2 linked regions of the Oryzias latipes genome follow. The protein of the gene in region 2 purifies or fractionates together with the protein of the main gene of each other region. This does not show direct contact. Links are inferred from orthologs where the notes say so. Each region holds a gene or a part of one and is shown on either strand. Other genes may lie near its edges.

Region 1 (5,035 bases), on a different chromosome or scaffold from region 2:
AAGCGTTTGTGTGAGGAGAACGTTCCAGTGCAGCGATGAGGTCACACGCTGAAACTCTCTTCTGCTTGACAGCAGAGAAGAGTGAAAAGACGTTGGAGGGAGAGGTTTCAGTTATCAAACATCAGATTTCTGGGAGGCACTCAGTGGTTCGGCTTAGGTGGGTTGACGCAGGGCCCCGTTTCTGGAAGGACCTCGGTCGTGGGTCCTGCTGTCGGGGCGTTTTGGCAGCGAGGAGCTGAACAGTGTTGGATAAACATAGCATCACTTGTTCAGTTGGCACGCCCGGTGCCAGCTGACGAGGAGCTGCCAGATAAAGACGGCGTGGGCCGGGCCCTGCAGCGGGACGGCTGATCAGCCCGACAGAAAGGTCTGAGCCCACACACACAAAACTACAGCAGACATGGGAAAACCAACAAAGCTGCCATCGATCCTGTAAATGTAAAGCAAATCCCCAACAGATCCACTCAGACACAGACAGACAGACAGATTGACAGACAAGACAGACTGACCTTCGTCCATAAGATTTCCAAATAAGGCTTCTGTCTGCTCCTGAAATGTTTGGACCTCTGAAAGAGAAAACAAAGGAAGTGCACATGAGAACCCGACAGGCTGGTTCTGAACGTTCTGCTTTGTTCTCCAGTCAGACACAGAAGTGGGCTCGGATTGTTGTGATGTTCCGGCAGACGTGAGGGCCGGATGGCGCCGAGGCGGTGTTTGATGGGCAGGACACAGAGCGTGCTCACTTTAGATTTCTGCTGTGTGGACGCTTTGCTGCAGAGCCACTCATTCATATTTCAGTAAGTCTGGTCCATTTCTGGACTAAAGGTTGACGAGTGAAACCCGTTTGTCTTCAGCTGAACAAAATCTACACAAAGCAAATTATTCCTGGACACGATTGCATCACATTTGATTTGAGGTTTCTGTTAAAACGACGTACAATGTCTCCTTCTGTGTGGAAACAGAACTCGCAAACACAGGAAGCTGCTTTTTGAAACTAAAAATTCATCTCCACATAAACCGTCTCGTCTACAAACATAGGCAGAAAACAGGGCTACGGTGTGGGAACAGGTAGACGGATAAGACCATCGATGGTTCGGGGCGTGAAGGTGAACACCAACGATGAAGGAAACCATAAACCATAAACATCTTCCTGTCTTTGTTCTGCCAATGGTTTGGTTGCAAACAGACCAAAAAGTCTGTTTCACCAACAGCTTCTGCCTCCATGAACCTCATGGAGGCTCAACAATCTTTAAACGCATCGCAAAAGAAAACCATTTCCCTTTTAGAAGCTGAAGAAATATAATCTAGAAATAGTTTCATTAATTAAGAGATTGGATATTTTTCTCAAAAGATTGGAAATTATTATTATTTTTAATTGATGTTATTTAAGAAACCAAGCAGAAACCTAAATACAATGTTGAGTAAATACAAATTGTACATTTTTTTGTATATATTGAATCCTTCAACTATGTGATGAATCTTTTGACAGAAAACAAGAACATCTTTTGTGCATCACAGAGCGAGAGGCGGAGCCTCAGAGATGGAGTCGTCCTACTTCCTGATTGGAAAAGAACTCAGGAAAATAACTAATATTTAATTTTAAAAGAAATGTTCTTTTGTGTCCCAAAATATATCATCATATACATGGATATATATATTTTTTACTATAAAAGGCTTAAGAAGAGCCTGGTATAGGCCCTTAAAGGACCAAAACATAAACACACAAAATGAATATTTAAAAAGCAAATTAGTTTTAATAAATGTTCAAAAGTGCTATTTGTGAAGAAAACATTCCCGTCGTTCCCTTTTCTCTTCTATGATAAGAAATTAAATATCCTGAATGACAAAACTAAACAGAGGAACATCAGGACAGGTGAAGGGGGATTCAACACAAACGTTAATCCACGTTAAAACAGTGCAACATAATGTACGCAGGGAAACGGTTAAAAGCATCTTCTGTGCTCGCCCACGTCACGCACAGCATCGGTGTGCCAACACGGCCCCCTGCACACAAAGTGCCAATTCAAGCCACCTTGGGCAGAAACATGGAGCTGGTGAGGATCGACGCGCTTCACCTTTAGTGTTGTGCACATTCCTGGTTGCTACGCATGAGAGCAGCCTGAACAGGGAGTTCCAGGGTGGAGCTTGTGGAGCTACACTTGTCTGCTTGGATTTCACTTGGACCACAGACATAGAGGTAAAGCATGTATGCAGCCCCTCTGTGCCACGCTGCTCAGGCCTTTTCCATGGAAACCACACACTGCTGCTGGAGCTCTACGCATTCCTCCAAATACTGGATCATATTTCCCCTCCTGCCACCCCCGCCCCCGCCCCCACCCCTCTCCCCTTGGAAAGTACAAGCTTCTGAGCGGCTGGAGTTCTGCAGCAGATCCAGAACGAGGGTTGTGTCCAAACAAACACCAGCAGATCCTTAACAGCGGGAAAACGTCAGAGTCCAGGGTGTTTGAGCGACTCCACTGCAGAAGCAACAGAAGGAGCCCGGACAGCAGCCAGGCAGGCTAAAGGGTTAATCAACTCGCCAGTCTGCACAGGAAACGGGAGGCAGTTTAGGAGAGTCATTAGAGCTTCACCAACACTGGGTAATTATCCAGTTTCTCCACTCAGGAACTATTTGACATTCCACGGGGCGGTTGGTTAGCAGGTATAGAAAGAGGAGTCAAAAAAAAGTGCAAGTTTGCAAAAGAAAAATCCTCAAAACAAGAGAGCCCCAGCTCAGAAACCTAACCTTGGCTCCCCGAGAGGAAATGAAAGAAGAAGAAAAAAATCCAGTGTGAAGTCTCCCCCTTCACTTTCTTCTCGGTTTGGATTTCAGTGATGTTCTTTGTCCTGGGGAGCGTGGTCGGTGTCAGCGCCACTGGCTGTGTTTGTCTGAAACACAGAGCTAAAGTCCGCATCCAGCGCGAGTCTTTATCTTTGTCTCTGCAGGCTCAGCCCTCACATGTCTCAGCTCAGCTCCAGCTGCATCTCCCTGCTGCTCCTGCAGCCTCGTGTCCTCTGAAAGCCTGCAGTTTGCCTTCTTTCTCCAGGCTGGACATTCTTCCTCCCTCTGCCCCCTCCCTCCGCCTCACTGTGGTTGTGCAAGTCTCAGATTTCAGCTGGTATAGCTGTAAGCTGCAGCACCAGCTGACCCCTCTGACTTCATACCTCCTTTCTCCTTTAGTGCAGCCCGTTTCTCCTCTGTCCACGTTTTAAATGTGAGCCAGAGAACACAGGGCTGCGTTCTCTGGCTCACATTTGCTCTTCAGCATAACTTACTTACACACTCTACAGCAGCGTCTCACCTTCTCAAAGTGCTCTTCCTGTTTTTGAGAAGCACTCTAGGTATGTGAAAAGCTCGCTCAGCGTTTACCGTTCGGAGCATCGATGCTGAAGATGCAGCACATCCCAGAGTCAACATCTGCTCACGAGAGGACAAAGAGGAGAAGCTTTTCTTTGTGCTTCATTTCCACATGGACCAAATCTGTGGAATTCCTTGCCCACCGTATGCTAAGCCGGAAGGATTTTTTCGCCCCCTCAGACTCAGTTATTTTCACAAATCTGATAAGAGATCAAACACGTCTGCAGCTGCATCAAAGACGGAGCGTGTCTGCTTTCAAAATCTCTGTCTGGATGTTCAGGCAGCAGTTTTTGGGAGGTCTGCAGTCAAACCTGCCAGTGGCTAGCAGACAGTGTTGTGAGAAAACAATTCTCCTGCTACATCTTAACATCTTGGCTTCAGTGCACATTAAAGTTTCCTTTATGCCAACGCAGAAACCCTGAATTCTGATTTTAAGTAATACTTTTAACAAGACTGCATTAGCTTAATCTAAAAAAGCTTTTTGAACGTGCCAACTCTTTTTACAAATTCAGCTCTTAAGCTAATATACAAAAAAAAAGAAGCACAAAAGGGACTAAATGTCATCGACACAGCAAGTTTTCATAAAGTTCCAGCAGGACCGGAGAACTCTGTAGAACATCAGCTGTTCCCTCGACCAGACCACTCATAGGAACAACCTGACTCCTTAGGTTGGGGGTCTCTTCTGGGCAAAGGGTCACTTGGTACCCAGACACAGAAAGAAAAAACAAATTTCCATTTTAGTCATTAGTGATTTTGAAAGCCATTTCATTTGGGAAAAACTACCAGATTCTCTCCGTGACACTTTATGCATGTAAAGTCGCTCGGTCACATGTCTTCCTACATGTGTGACCTTCCTAAAGAAGCCACTCAGGCGGTAAAACCAAAATAACCCCAAGATGACAAAAGAAACTCAAACCGAATTATTTGGACAATTTCTGCACAGTATAAGAATCAGAGAGATGACTTCAAAAATCAACAAGAAAGCTGCATTTAACAGATAATATCAGGAGTCTTAATTAAAATATGGATTTATTGGGACAGGTTGCTCTCACGCAGTGAGCCCTGTCTTATGTTACAAAGACACTGCTGATAAAATTGGACACAGCAGATTCCCGTTTATTATTATATTTAGAAAATATTTGTTATGGTGGTGGTCATATGCAACGTTTATTTATTCATCTCACCTTCAAGTCCGGTCTGTGGTGTAAAACTGATCAGGGAGCGCTGCATGGAGGTATTAAACTGAATCTTTTGATACTTGATGGTTCCTAAAAAGTATCTCAACGTCTCAACGTAGATGACCCAACAATGCGTTGAAAGATGTGATGCTTCACTGGAGGTGTCAAAAGTTTTTAATATGCACACTACGGCATGAGTGAAGGGAAAAAAAAGCGCGTGCCAGTGGCGTTCATTCATCCGTGATCTGCTGAAGACAAATAATCAACCAGCTGTTTATAAGAGTGAAAATGTCCTGACTCATTCATGTGTGACCTTTTGATTAAAAATAGTGTTTAAAGTTGCTCCAGAAACCTGTCATTTCAGTAGCAGCTAATATTTTTTTCAAAAAAAGATGCTTTTTGTTTGTAAATGTCACTGATTCTATTCCTTAGTCCAGCAGACTTTAGTCAAAACCAGTCAAACGCTGTCATCTACCTGCTGATTTCTAATAGTCTGCGT
Region 2 (5,007 bases):
TGGCAGCCATGTGTGCCATGAGGTCACAGACACGGTTGCTGTAGCCAAACTCATTATCGTACCTGGTAAGGAAAAAGGAGAACGTCAGTCAGGGTTTTTTTAACGTGTTTTTTGTGGAGAAGGTGAGAATGACGTACCATGAGACCAGCTTGACAAAGTGGTCGTTCAGGGCGATGCCGGCACCAGCATCAAAGATGGAGGAGTGGGTGTCACCATTGAAGTCTGTGGAGACAACCTGCAGGAAAACAAAGAAAATGTGAATGAAAAATTATGATGATCTATAAAATAAAATAAAAAGAGAGAAACAAAGACAGCTGGCTACAGACCTGGTCCTCTGTGTATCCAAGAAAGCCTTTCATGGGTCCCTCAGATGCAGCCTTGACTACCTTTTTGATGTCATCGTATTTAGCCTGTAGGCAAAGACAAAACCATAAATAAAATAAACCATAATAACCGACTAGCATCTGGATTAAAAAAAAAAGAAAAAAAATGGTGAACGCAAAATGTACGCATATTTCATTTAACCTTCACCTGCTGAAATTTACCATATAGACCACGGAATATAGCAGAAAATAAGAGCCCACAAGGTAGATGTTGAAAGTGAATAAAATCTGAGAAACTGTACAGTTTTGCAGATTAATTTTATTAAGAGATTCCATCTTAATCCCTGGTGATAATAATATGGATAATAATAATAAATCCATATGAAGGAAAAATAAAAGGATTTGTGGTCACTCACTGGTTTTTCCAGGCGGACTGTGAGATCAACCACCGACACATTGGGAGTGGGCACACGGAAGGCCATGCCGGTCAGTTTGCTGTAGAAATTTTAAGTGTTTAATTAAGACCCTGACAGCATGTATGCTGTAATATTAAAAAACCCACTGAGGACTCACCCGTTCAGCTCGGGGATGACTTTTCCCACAGCCTTGGCAGCTCCGGTAGAGGCGGGGATGATGTTCTGGCTGGCACCACGGCCGTCCCTCCACAGCTTACCAGAGGGTCCGTCCACAGTCTTCTGGGTGGCAGTGATGGCATGAACTGTGCTCTGAAGAGAGACCAAGACAAAAAGGGAGGTGGGTTCAATGAGTCTGAACATTCAGCAGCAAAAATCGTTTAATGGAGCGTCTGCTCTCACCATCAGGCCCTCAACAATGCCGAAGTTGTCGTGGACGACTTTGGCCAAGGGGGCCAGACAGTTTGTTGTGCAGGACGCATTGCTTTGAAAAGCAGAAACATTGGCGTCAGAGCTGTAAGATCCAAAAATGGACGGTCCTTTTGTAGATTAAAAGTCATCTTACCTGACAACCGTGAGAGAGTTGTCGTACTTCTCGTGGTTGACTCCCATGACGAACATGGGGGCATCTGCGCTGGGTGCAGAGATGATAACTCTCTTGGCACCGCCCTTCAAGTGAGCCTGCATTTTGGGATTTAAAGAGGATTATTCCGCATTTGCTTGATCCAAAAATAAATAAATAAATAAAAATCATGATATCCAGAGGGGAGCATACATACAGAGGCCTTCTCAATGGTAGTAAACACACCGGTGGACTCCACAACATACTGGGCACCGGCCTCACCCCATTTAATGTTAGTAGGGTCCCTCCTGCAAAGAAAAATCCAATCACTTTCTTTTAGTCGTCCTAAAAAGTAATCACTGATTATTAAATACTGGCACATTAACTCACTCATGGAAGACGGTGATCTGGTGTCCATCAATGACTAGTTTGCCTCCCTCAGCCTTGACCTCACCCTTGAAGCGGTTGTGGGTGGAGTCATACTTGAACATGTAGACCTTAAAACAAAAATAACTTGAATACAAGATCTCCCCCCCCCCCCCCCCCCATTTAATTTAAGACTTAATGTCTTTCACTCACCATGTAGTCCAGGTCAATGAACGGGTCATTGATGGCCACAATCTCCACCTTTTTAGAGGTGAAAGCAGCTCGGGTCACCAGACGGCCGATACGGCCAAAACTGAAATGTGGAAGGACAAGTATCAGTCTGGCCTCTAGATGGCGTCCTGAGGCCATCTAATCTGTGCAGTTATGTCTGAGTGGCAGTGACATAAAGGGGCCAATGCCTAATAACCTGAAATCATTCAGTAAGGGACGCTAGTGCTGACTTTCAGGTGAACCCGAGCAAACGCGGTTCACTGAAAGAACCCCATTTTGTTTCCTTCCTTCACGTTGGCTTATGCATAACATCCCAGGAGACATGAATCTGCAGTCAGATAAAGGGCAGAGCTCATGAGGAGGGGCTGCATGCCGCTCAAATGCTCACACGCCCCTTTCTGGGGGCAAAAGTCAGAAGAACCGCCAGTGTGTTAATCCTGATGACGCCACAGCTGCGGTTTGATCAATGGTCGGGTTACTTTTTAACCACAGTCCTGAAAACCTGGTCTAAAACAGAGGCCAGCAGGACTGGCAGATAACACTAAAGATTCAGGATTGTGATAGTTCAATATCCAATGAGATATTCAGCTTCATTTCTACTCAATTCCAAGAGTAGAAGAAAACGTCTGTCCAGTTGAAGGGGTGAAACAAACTCAAAGTTTTCTACCAAAAGGCCAAAGTTCAGAGATTGAGAGAAAACAAAAAACATCCAGATGGCGCAAAGGTTTGTTCAAATGCATCAGGGGACACTTGTTGCTTCAGATGTTGCACACCACCTTCAAATTGGATGCCAATTGCTTCAGCTCCATGTACGTCTTGATCGCCAGGGAAAATTAAAAACTCTTTAGTAAACCAGAGCTTGTTCTTTAAATCAAGTGTCCTCAAGGTTTCTTGGAACTCTGCTAAAGTTAGTCTGAACATTCAGAGTTTCATTAAGAGATCCTTATTTTAAGAAATCAAACAATTCAGGGAACGTTTTGCAAAACCACTCCAGGAATGTATTAAAAAAATAAAATGATTAAAAAGGAAATATTTGAAGTGCATCAAGAACAATGTGGCATTGTGAGCTTGAAGTGTTGAGAAAAAGCTCTTACCCATTGATACCAACTTTCACCATTTTAGCCTGGGTTGATCTTTAGTCCTCTGTGAGATTAAAGAATAACAATTTAAAAAAAACATCCTTTAGAAATCTATGCAACAAATATTTTTTTTAAAATCACACATCATTTGGGCAGAAAGATGAGCAGAAGGCCTCAAACATTCATGCAAGTCCTTTTTTTTTGGATCACTTTGATTGCTGCAACTTCTCCATGACACTTTACAACTTTCTAAACAGCTTCAATCAAGCAGAAACAAAGCAAAGTGACTGTTTTGCATCAATTGTCTCCAGGTGATTTCAATGAAAGAGTCATGCTGCCAGAAACAGCTGAAGCCTTTACCGTTTGTGAGACGCTTCTGTCTGTCTTGCGACTCCGGGTGTGAGTGGGGAAGAGCAAAGTTTGGTTGGGAGTATTTATGATGGCCCCCTCAGGACAAAGCCACACCCCTTAATGGTCACCGATCCTCACCCCGCCCCCTGTGAATGTCAAGGTCGTTAGCTGCTCAGACACAGGCTCTGAAATCCCATTTTTGTCAAGCTCCTTTCAATTCTTCTTCATATTTAACTTTTAATTACAGTCCTAACTCTTTAGAGCATTTATTCTAATTCAAAATATGTGCTGTCAGTTTAGTCTGAAGCATTTGGAGGTCCTGATTTAGATCCTCCAGCTGAAAAAAGAGAGGGGTCCCTGCTGACCTTCTCACTGAATGCAGACACATGGAGAGAGCAAATGGGGGATCAAATCTCTGGCTTAGTGACGCTGACATTTAATGTTCAAAGACCATGACCCTTCACTTGAATGGTTCTGTTGCCGTGCCTCTTTTTCTGCCGTTTTATCCCCTCAGCTCAAGTCAAAAGTTGAAACTCAGTTGCTCAACTTGAGTCGTGCAGAGGAACTTGTCGGAGTCAGTTTGCTCACCTGAACTGTGACTTTTGTGTGGACATTTGGAAACGGCTCTATAGTAAAACTTTATCTTGAAAGTGCTGCAGCTAAGGAATCTGCAAGAGCACATTTTATCTTTTAGAGATTAATAATCTTTGCTTTCTTCACCAGTCTCAAAACACAACAAGGCTCAGGCATGCCAGCTGCCTTCCGAAGTCTATTTTTGACTCCCTGTTCTGTCAACAATGTTGACATCAGAAAGAAAAGATCTCCCAAGATTACGGTGTTAGATTTTCCCCACGTGTTGCACAAGCAGACCAGACCCGACAAACGCTCGCTTAGATTTCCTCTGCATGTTTCAGCAGGCTGCAGAGACGGTTCTCTGCTCTGAAGCTGAGCAGCAACGGCGGGTTTGGTGGCAGACGTCCAGTGGTCCTGGCATAGCTGAACTATCACAACCCCTCCGAGTGCAAGCATGCCAGTCCCAGCCGCCGCTTTACAGCTTAAGGTCAAAGAAGGGACGCAAAGGTCAAGCTAAGATTAGATTGCAGCGAGTCAAACTCATGATCCATGATATACTCAGTGCTGCAAGTGCTGCCTCGTGGTGATCTTCTTTTGTCTGTTTCACAACAGTTCAAGCACCTCGACGTTTGAGTCGGAACGAAACTGATGCATTGATTTTAGAGAAAAACATGGAAACATTTCATGACATAAATTGGACTCGTTAGTCCTCTGTGTTCATACTGACTCGCTACAAACATCTGCAGAAACATCAGTGGTAAACTTCTAAGCTGTAAAGACGGGACTTTGTGATTGCGTTCATGTAAAAAGGTGCTTTTAGGTACATTTGTGCAACTTGTGTTCTGTCTGGTACAAAGTCCAGCCTGCAGAGATGTGCAATAATAGCTAGGAACAAACAAACTCATACTGCCATCTTGTGTTGCAGCAAGAAACACTTATTTTCTACATTTTGCTTTCAAATGGAATCTTTTCCCGGTTTTCGGTAGCGACATGTTATTTTCAAAGGTTATTGTGAATTTAGATCACCAACCAAATGACACAAATATAATTTAAAAAAAAGGATGAAAATGTGTGCAGTCAGAGTGAAATGCCTTTGAAACAGCAGGCAG

The links.
Region 1: the proteins of gapdh (region 2) and siah1 purify together in Homo sapiens (affinity purification with western blotting; 4 studies listed by BioGRID). This does not show direct contact. The link is inferred for Oryzias latipes from reciprocal best matches to the Homo sapiens genes GAPDH and SIAH1.

Annotation. Positions count from the first base shown.
Region 1 is NC_019864.2:25,286,140-25,291,174, forward strand, and holds the start of siah1 (E3 ubiquitin-protein ligase SIAH1), read right to left. Parts: upstream 3,117-5,035; 5' UTR 2,194-3,116; coding exon 2,076-2,193; intron 567-2,075; coding exon 510-566; intron 1-509. UniProt on the Homo sapiens protein: E3 ubiquitin-protein ligase that mediates ubiquitination and subsequent proteasomal degradation of target proteins.
Region 2 is NC_019874.2:20,246,028-20,251,034, reverse strand, and holds the start of gapdh (glyceraldehyde-3-phosphate dehydrogenase), read right to left. Parts: upstream 3,418-5,007; 5' UTR 3,335-3,417; intron 3,039-3,334; 5' UTR 3,013-3,038; coding exon 2,990-3,012; intron 1,978-2,989; coding exon 1,878-1,977; intron 1,796-1,877; coding exon 1,689-1,795; intron 1,607-1,688; coding exon 1,516-1,606; intron 1,418-1,515; coding exon 1,302-1,417; intron 1,221-1,301; coding exon 1,139-1,220; intron 1,049-1,138; coding exon 897-1,048; intron 819-896; coding exon 740-818; intron 411-739; coding exon 327-410; intron 236-326; coding exon 138-235; intron 63-137; coding exon 1-62. UniProt on the Homo sapiens protein: Has both glyceraldehyde-3-phosphate dehydrogenase and nitrosylase activities, thereby playing a role in glycolysis and nuclear functions, respectively.